Danio rerio: one gene and its partner. The protein of the gene in region 1 interacts with the protein of each later gene in a pairwise test. Links are inferred from orthologs where the notes say so. Each region holds a gene or a part of one and is shown on either strand. Other genes may lie near its edges.

Region 1 (4,376 bases):
TGTTTCACTCAACCACACACACACACACACACACACATCTGGATTATGACTGCATGTACAACACGTGTAGATATCCAGCAAAACCAAAACAGTCACAGCAGCATCAATACATGCTTCACACTTGGAGTAAAAGTACTGATACCTTTTTCCATTCTCAATAAAGTTAGCTATACAGTCCACACACAGACACACACACACACACACAGGTATTTATAACGGCTGTTTAGCGAAATCTTTCGCGCGGAGGTTACACTAGCTTGCTAATGGTTAAGAATCTTGACCTTCTTTATAAGCTGCCAATTTCATGCTTTAATGAACCTAAAACCACTGAGAATCAAAAAATAGATTTTAATTTTAGTGGGTGATGATTGGTACAGATTTTGATAATAATAAAAAAGGTGTTGGGATCACGAGCAGGGCGGTTAAATTTACCTCAGCCCAGTCTGGGGCAGATACTGAGGGGCAGATGTGAAGTATCTCCCAGACGTGGTTATGAGTAAAATATTCGACACGTTTGCACATGAAATAACAAAGACGAAACGTGATCAATTACCCTTAAATATGAGCGAATGTTTTCCGTTTTTACATTGTATTATTGTGCGTAATTGCTTGCATTTCTAATAGGAGCAATTTAAAGTGAAGTTAAACGTTTTTGTATCTGGTTCCAAGATACACAGATTGATATTGATTCGTATTAAATTCGTAATGATACCAGATGTAGAACGTCCAGTAATGTGTGATTTTGTGATAAAAACAGAGATAATCGACATATTTGCAAAAACTTGAGTCATAATTTAATAACACCCAGCGAGTACATATAGTTGCTTAATAGATATTTCAGCTTCAATAAAATGTAACATTAATACAATAGCTTAATACAACATTTAAAGTTATGCGTTATTCTACAATCGGTAATGGCATTTAAAGATTTCCGTGCATATGCATATTTTTAAATATTATTATATATACTTCACAGACTACGATTGACCTTGCATAAATAAACTAGGATTCCATGAATGTGTTTTGAAGGAATATTCAACCATTTTAAAACAAATTAAGCCAACTCAAAATTTGTGGAAAGTGTGGAAAACTGTATTAAACTGAGTTTTCACAATAGTTTTAAATTACATTACCTGCATATGCATTTCAAATTAAATCAGTTCTTAAACTAAAAAATATTTAAAGACTTAAAAACAATTAATTTGTCTAAAATTCAAAAGCATCTTATTACAAAAAAAAGATTTAGTATTAGCTTCTCTGTGTATGAAATTCAAAGGGGTTTTGAATAAATTCATTAAAAAAGTTTGTAGGCTCGCTTGTTGTTTCTTTGCTTTAAAAATAACCGTCTTCTGTGTAATTATAAATTGGATGGCAAAGTTTATCAAGATCGATACTGGCTCTGTTTGCATTACCTGAAAGTCATGTTAGTTTTCTAGATCCATTACAAAATATACAAGACATTTTTTTAAAAATCCTATAATTCATGCCAGTTCAGGACGGGGTAAAAAAAAAACTGTTACAAGTTCATATACAATACGTTTCGCTCTTGCAAACATATGGTCAAATATAGATAGTGCTGAAACTGATCGGGTTCGAGTCTAGTTTATGATCGTCGTGTGCCCCCTAGCGGTGGATTTCGGACACGTGCAGCAGCGAAAGCGCAGAGTAACCCGCGCTGAGATCCACAGCCTGTGTGTGGAAACCCAATAATGTTACACGATACTTTACAATGTTACAACAACTCAGGATTTGTGTCAAACACGTTTATCTATTAAAACGCGGACTAATGCTTTTGAAGATTTACGTTTCAGACATCAAAACTAAAACATCAAAAAGATAGAAGCTAAATGGTTGTGTCGTCGAGCTCCTGACAACATTTCAGGTTCATATAATCTGAAGCATACTTTATTTAGAAAAATGCAACTTATCACAGTCCTTCAAAGCACGTTTAGTGTGTCAACTAACATGATCTCTGGAAGAACAGTAGGTTAGTGTGTTACGAATATATGCATAAAAAGCCTGGTTTTCTCGATACATTTGTATCCAAATAGTTGCATTATATTTAGGTTTCGTCTTACCTTTGTCAACGACATTTAAGACGAAAATCAGGCCTAAATAGAAATCGTATTTCTCTCCTTGCAAATGTACTCGAAACGGCAAAGAGCGTAACGTAAAATACTCTTCTACTGCTTTTCAGCGAAAGCCCACAAATACTGCACAACCGCGTTTTGCTTCAAACGTTAGAAAAGCGTTAATGTGTAAAACTCGAAACGATATTAGGCTATATGCAGATGTCTTACTCTGCGCTGTTAGTCTCAGGCAGAAGACTATCGTGCTCTATTTGCTGGCAGTGGGTAGTAAGCGCACGCGGCGCTTGTAAACAGTCGGACACGAGATTTTTCCCAATCAAAATTCGCTTCCACTCTTTGAAAATCTTCCAAAAATAGTGCGAGAGGGGGGAAATCCTGCCCAGAATCACAGACAGACAGCGTTGCGGGACACTCCACGAGATGTGAGAGTAAATAAGCAAGCGAAAGCACGCGTGCATATACCCACCACGGTCCGGTATATGTGAGCGTTTGCTCTTAAGTGGTCAAAGCGACTGGGGCACGAGAGCCAAGACATATGCGCCTAAACACAGAGTCGACACGAACTTCTCCAAGTACAGCGATGGAAGACAAACTTTTTGGCGATTCGGTGCGCGTAAAGGCATTCAAGAGATGGGAACGCTCTCTTCGCTAAAGTCCACTTGATCGGCGCTGCGCTGTCCAATGTCCAGTGTGTCTTCCCTGAGAATTACGCTCCTCTCCAGCAACTCAACGCTACACAACGCAGCCAAAAAACAGGTAAAGGCAACGGGCACAACATATATTTGTCTTTACTTACGCGAAAAATCCCGTTTGCTTAAGTGCTGGGGTTTGCCTTGCTTGCGGCGAGACATGGTGGTTGGTGGTGGCTTTCAGCTCGGTTCACATCGGGAGAGCCGGGTTAGAAAGGAGACTCCAGAGAAAATATCTTCATCAATGCCTTTGACATCCAAAATAAATTAGAAATAATACAAAGATGGCGCAGGGAAGATGGATTGTGGGATAGCCGTCATGGCTTTTTTGAAAAGAGAGAGAGAGAGATGAAAAAATGGCAAAAGCCCCCCTGAGCTGCAAGTTCAAGTGCGGACGTGACGTCCCTGCGAACTTGAACGTCAGGAGATGGATGGACACAGACATACAGAACATGGGCAGGGCAAAGCCGTGGAGTAGGAGGAGGGAGTGGAAATAACAAAACCAATGGACACTCATTAGGGGCTGGACATGAAAAATAGACCCGAAGAAGCCAATGGACAGAAAGATCAGGGGGCCGGACAAGAGGCGAGAAAGAGGGAGCGAGAGACAAGCACACACACAAGGAGAGAGAGAGGGGGAGATATGTTTAATGAAAGCAATGTGCGCTGCGGAGTGTGTGTGTGTGTGTGTGTGCGTCCGCGCGCGCTCGCGCTCTGGGGGTGGACGCAGGAAAACAGAGCACGAAAAGCCAATGGACAGGAGATTCAAGGGGGCCGGACGTGCTATATATACAAAGACAGTGAGAGAGGAGCCTCGCATTTAAGGTTTCGTAGTGGACACTGATGGTGTTTCAAACACACTGACTCAACTCCTGGTCAAACAGTCAAAGGTAGCGCGCAAGGTAGCTGCTTTTCAGCGAGACACGATCGGGTTGCATGAACAGGACAGACAGGTTCCGAGCCGGGGCATGTGCAGGGTTCAACCGCCGCGTGCGCTGCCACATTCCTCCAGCTCAGAGAAACTTAAGGCACATCACATAAAGCGGGATGGGATACTTGCTCGTGCGCTCTGCGCGCGATGTAGGTGGGACTTAAATACTACAAGAGTGTAATTGTAAAAATATAACAACACACTGACGAATAGATTGTGGGAGCAGCCCACTAGAAAGAAAGGGGACGGGGTAATAACTTTCAGATGTGTTCAGATTATAGAGAATGGCGACTGGGGGGAGGAGGGGGTGTCAGTAAACCGCCGCGTGGATTTAGAAATATAAAGATGCTGTAAACAGCGCTGATGCATTCGAAATTAAAGAGACATGAAGCGTATAACCGAACGCGATGACAAGCTAGTTCAATGCATGAGGTGGGAGGAAGAGAGAGACACCCCTGCGAACTAGTAGAAGTACAACTAGACTATAGCGACTACTCCAGAGAAAGCAGAGGCTGCGTGAACAAGTGACAGTCTGCGGGGAAAAGGCACAATTCAATAGGGAACCGATCGGAGTTGAAGCCGAATGCTGGAGATAATACGTGACCCGCGAGCGAGTGAGTGAAACTGCTTTGCAGGCTTATACGCTGACATCTTTGTTTCTGGACC
Region 2 (4,346 bases), on another chromosome or scaffold:
TGACGCACTTTTGATGCGTCAGGCTATAGGAATGCATAAACAGTAGGCCTAAAATGAGGGCGCATCGGTGGGAAGCGTCATATCGCAGGTCCCATAAAACAATGTTCAGTAGACTCGCACAATGGCGACATTAGGGAGAGTGTTAACTTAATGATTTCCCCATTGAGCCTCGTCTGACTGGCCTGGTCTCGACAAGCTGCCAACCCCGCTTCATAATGAAGCTCGACAACTGCTTTCTTCGTGCCGTCTATAGGCTCGCGGATTAGGGAGTGACACGGGAGAGGAGAATAATACGCACCAGCGCGTTTCAGCGACTCAGATGAAGTGTATGCAAATGAACTTGGAGTAAATGAAAATTGTGATTTTTCTTGTGTGTGCAGAACACTTTTTTTTCTGTATTTAAGTCTGTCAATAGAGGCATATTTGCATGTATATGGGGGAGTCGTTTAGAGAAACGGCTATGTAATTACACTGACATATGTCCACCTGCTCATTGATTTTCCAGTGACCCGTCAAAAAGTGTAGCATGGGAATTCGGATATAGACCGGTAAAGACGGAGAAGGAAAACGACTTCATGCTCTCTGACTTTTTACACCAAAAGAAAGAAAAAAGCTGCATTTTAATGCGTTAAACACATTTATTTTCTGTGCGTGCCAGATGTTCTACAGAAATGATAATGACTTTTTTTGTGAATTGTGACGTGAAAGTGACTTTGTGTGTCTACCTTCCTATTTTAACATTTTAGAAAGTGCGAAGTTCGAGTCAAAGTCTTGATATAAATGCAGGTTTATGAAATATTTCTTTACCAACGGTGGGCGCTTGAATAAAAAAAAACTGCAGAAAACTTGTTGCATTTGTCGCTTTGAAACTCGAAAATAGCTACATTAGTACACGCTTTTGTCAACGCTTTTTTAGAAAAATGCATAATTAAAAGTTCATTTACAATTTTAGTTTTGAAACATTTTTATCCTGGTCTGTGAATTTCAGTATTTTATGTGTATAAATTATAATTAAACCCATCAAACCAGATAGCTCTTATTTCGATGAAGGCCTACTGTTTTCCATCCAGAACAGATGCAATCATCGCATAATTCGACAGCACACAATGGTAAGGATTGGTAAGAAACTCATAATGAATTGAAGGCGGATTTGTTTTAGGGAAGGTCTTTAACTTTCCCCTGTGGGGGTCCCGGTCTGATGCATTGTTCGTTGTAATTGTTTAAGGACATATGGCATATTTCATTACTGTAATCAGCATCAACCCTGGGACGTGCTGCACTAGATTAGGTGCAGTTGTGAGAAACCCTAAATTTAATGGGCCTTCGACCACCCAAACAGTATAAGTGCCGTAATGTTACCCCTATAATGTAAAAAATAATTGCTAAAGAGAATCATTTAAAAAGTGAGAGGCATCTAAAACTTATTTGAAACAGTTTAAGGCTAAAAGCATTCTGAATAAGGAAAGAAAAGTTTAGGCCTCAACAAAATTACTAATTTGCCGAGCTAGATTTAATAATTGTTTTCGATATAATCATATCATCAGTTACTTACAAATCATTGCTAATACTATTGTGCAATAGAAACAATTGTATATGGGTTCCCTTATTTTATTGAACTCCACTTAAACAATTCTCTTGCATTATTTAAAAGTCAAATCTCTCATACATACAAACTTTTAATTATTTTTTTTCTATAGTCTTAAAGGTCAAAGAGGTATAAAATTTTATTATCACAAGCATGCAGACTTTCTCGAATTAGAATAAATATTTAGTTTTTTTTTTCTTCAAGAAATGTTTATTGTCAGATTGTTTTTAGAATTGCAATCCTAAAAATAAAATGTCAAGAAAACATTTATTTTAGATTAATTATAGGCCACTTGCATTTTTTTTAAATAACACGAGTCAAAAGAGATACTAGGAGACACTCAATAAGGAAAATATCTGCTTTGACACACTATGCATAGTTTGCGCATAATTATGAAATAAAGACTGTTGGAATACATTTAGTAGTTACCTACATTTTTAGAGTTTCGAAAATACCTCAGTACTTATTTGCAAAATGTAATAGTGAAACAACGTAAGCTGTCAAAACATTCTAAGCAGCATAACACTAAACTCAAACTTATTTAAGCCTTTCCAACCTTATTCGTTTATTGATTTTCTTAGACTTTACGTGTATTCAATATTGATATACACAATGTTTAGCCTTAATTGAGATAATCTTGATTGTAAATATAGATCTTTCGTATAGAGGCAGACAACAGTGACAGCACGTAAACATTTCGATATGCATTTGACAACTCTTTGAAGTTGATATTATTTTTGTCACATTGATCATACGCAATTATTTCACTTTTAATTATTTCGTAAACAAAACGAAATAGCATTTTGACTCGACATCACGCCATTTCTAACTTCACAATAGTCCTGAAAGCAAATGCAGTTTACTTACTGGATTTGACATTTAAAATATCCAGACAACCACTTGTTGAACCAGCAGGCTTGCTCATATTGAAGACCACGGCTCCGAGAAATTGCGTTTCAAAAGTTCAACTTTTCAGGCCCAGGGCAGTCTTAGCACTTTTGACTTAGATTGAAAAAAGAAACATACATTTAACATCCGATTTGCGGTGCACAACTGGTCCTTTGATTTCTCTTGCAGTTTCTGAATGTGTCCAAAATGTTCCTCTTGTTTTTCAGCAAATAAAATCCGAATTACGTCTCACTGTTGATGGATGATGGATGCAGCTTCACAGATGATATGCCAAAGCTGGTCTCTGATCTCTCTGCCCCACGTAAAAGTTGGTGCAACTAACTGTGAAACCAAGCCAACAACTGTACCGCTCAACACCTGCTTCAAATGTACAACGTGAGCTGGGAAATGCGTCGCAGCCCAAGCCTTGGTGAGTGACTTTGTGATGTGTACCGTCAGATTAAAGGTTTGGTAATATGTATGAGATGTATTAGAGTAGGAGGGCGGGAGAGAAGGGAGGGTGGGAGGAGAGCCCAACTTCCTTTGACCACTTAGCTTTTCCCTGCCTTCTGCTTCAACTCCTGCTCGCGCGTGACGTCACGAGGACGAATGAAGTGATATTGCATACACAGTGAGTCAGGCACTGTCAGAGGCTAATAGTGCGCTCGCTCTATAGGAATTGATTAGGATCAGCAAGGCTGTTTAAATGACCGAATCAATCGTTTGCCACTGATTAGGAACACATTTCTATTCTCAGAGAGTTCACTGACCTAACTACCGACACAGGCTGGAGTAAATTGTTTAGGCATTCGGTTAGAAAGATGATCACTTTTTATTTTGTTCTGTCTTGCTGCGCACTTACTTTCTCTCGCGCTTTCCCGGATCCTTCCATCGCGCGCGTGCACCTGTTGCTCCGTCCTCTCTCGAGCCCAGATATCACACTGTTCCACAGCGCTCTCAGCTTGCCTGCTTTTATGCGCACGGCGTCAAAATTAGAGGATTTTTTAAGAGTGTATTTTTTATTCTGAATCAACATGTGGTGATGTTGCTGTTATGCTAAATGGAAAACATTATAGCTATAAATGAGCATTTTAACATAATGTCCTAAATTGCGTCTTTTTTTTCTGCCCCAATAACAGCCTAACCCAAATGTACACACATCTGTTTGTGTATTTTTATTTATTTTTTTATAGCCTATTTGTTAAGTGTTGGGTATTACAAACCTTACTTTGTATATTCTAAGTAAGTTATAAGTTGCCAAGTATTTTACATCATTACTCGTGAAGTGAACAATCCTCTAAACAAACAGTCAACGTCTCTGCTCATGAGTCTTGCGCGGAGAATAATATTGAGAGGGAAATTAATAGGATTATTAATGATGTTAATCGGATGCATTTTAACTGACTTATTTATACAGAACAAGTATGTATAAATAACGCCTCAGACTTAGAAAACATCGGTATTAAATGAAGTATGCGCGCGCTCTGTTTCCGAGGGGACACATGCGTGCGAGTTTCCCTCGTGTAGAGAATCACAACTGTACCCGTTTGCGAGCGTGCGCAATGACATCTTGACCTTAACAGCGTGCCATGTTGTGGCCGCCGCCAGCAGACACCCATATTTTAGGTTTAATTATGAACATTCCCACGGTAGCTCGGGGCCATATGGGAGCCCTAAATCTCGGTCTAAACGTGGCGAACGGGGGCGTATCTAATCGCAATTAGTGATTGTCATGTCCTCCTTTAAACGGTGTTCTCAGTGCACTGAAAAGAAATTAGGATTTTTGACAGGTGAATGACTGCACATTCAAATGTGCGTTTTCAGGACCTGGTGTGCCAGACTAAGAAAAACAGTGTCACAGTAGGCTCATACT

Evidence for each region.
Region 2: the proteins of bcl11aa (region 1) and nr2e1 interact in a two-hybrid assay, tested with the Homo sapiens proteins (2 studies listed by BioGRID). The link is inferred for Danio rerio from reciprocal best matches to the Homo sapiens genes BCL11A and NR2E1.

Annotation. Positions count from the first base shown.
Region 1 is NC_133188.1:29,070,179-29,074,554, reverse strand, and holds the start of bcl11aa (BCL11 transcription factor A a), read right to left. Parts: upstream 3,047-4,376; 5' UTR 2,942-3,046; coding exon 2,887-2,941; intron 2,497-2,886; exon of another isoform or gene 2,079-2,496; intron 1-2,078. UniProt on the Homo sapiens protein: Transcription factor. Associated with the BAF SWI/SNF chromatin remodeling complex. Binds to the 5'-TGACCA-3' sequence motif in regulatory regions of target genes, including a distal promoter of the HBG1 hemoglobin subunit gamma-1 gene.
Region 2 is NC_133195.1:35,307,049-35,311,394, forward strand, and holds the start of nr2e1 (nuclear receptor subfamily 2 group E member 1), read right to left. Parts: upstream 2,928-4,346; 5' UTR 2,511-2,927; coding exon 2,453-2,510; intron 1-2,452. UniProt on the Homo sapiens protein: Orphan receptor that binds DNA as a monomer to hormone response elements (HRE) containing an extended core motif half-site sequence 5'-AAGGTCA-3' in which the 5' flanking nucleotides participate in determining receptor specificity.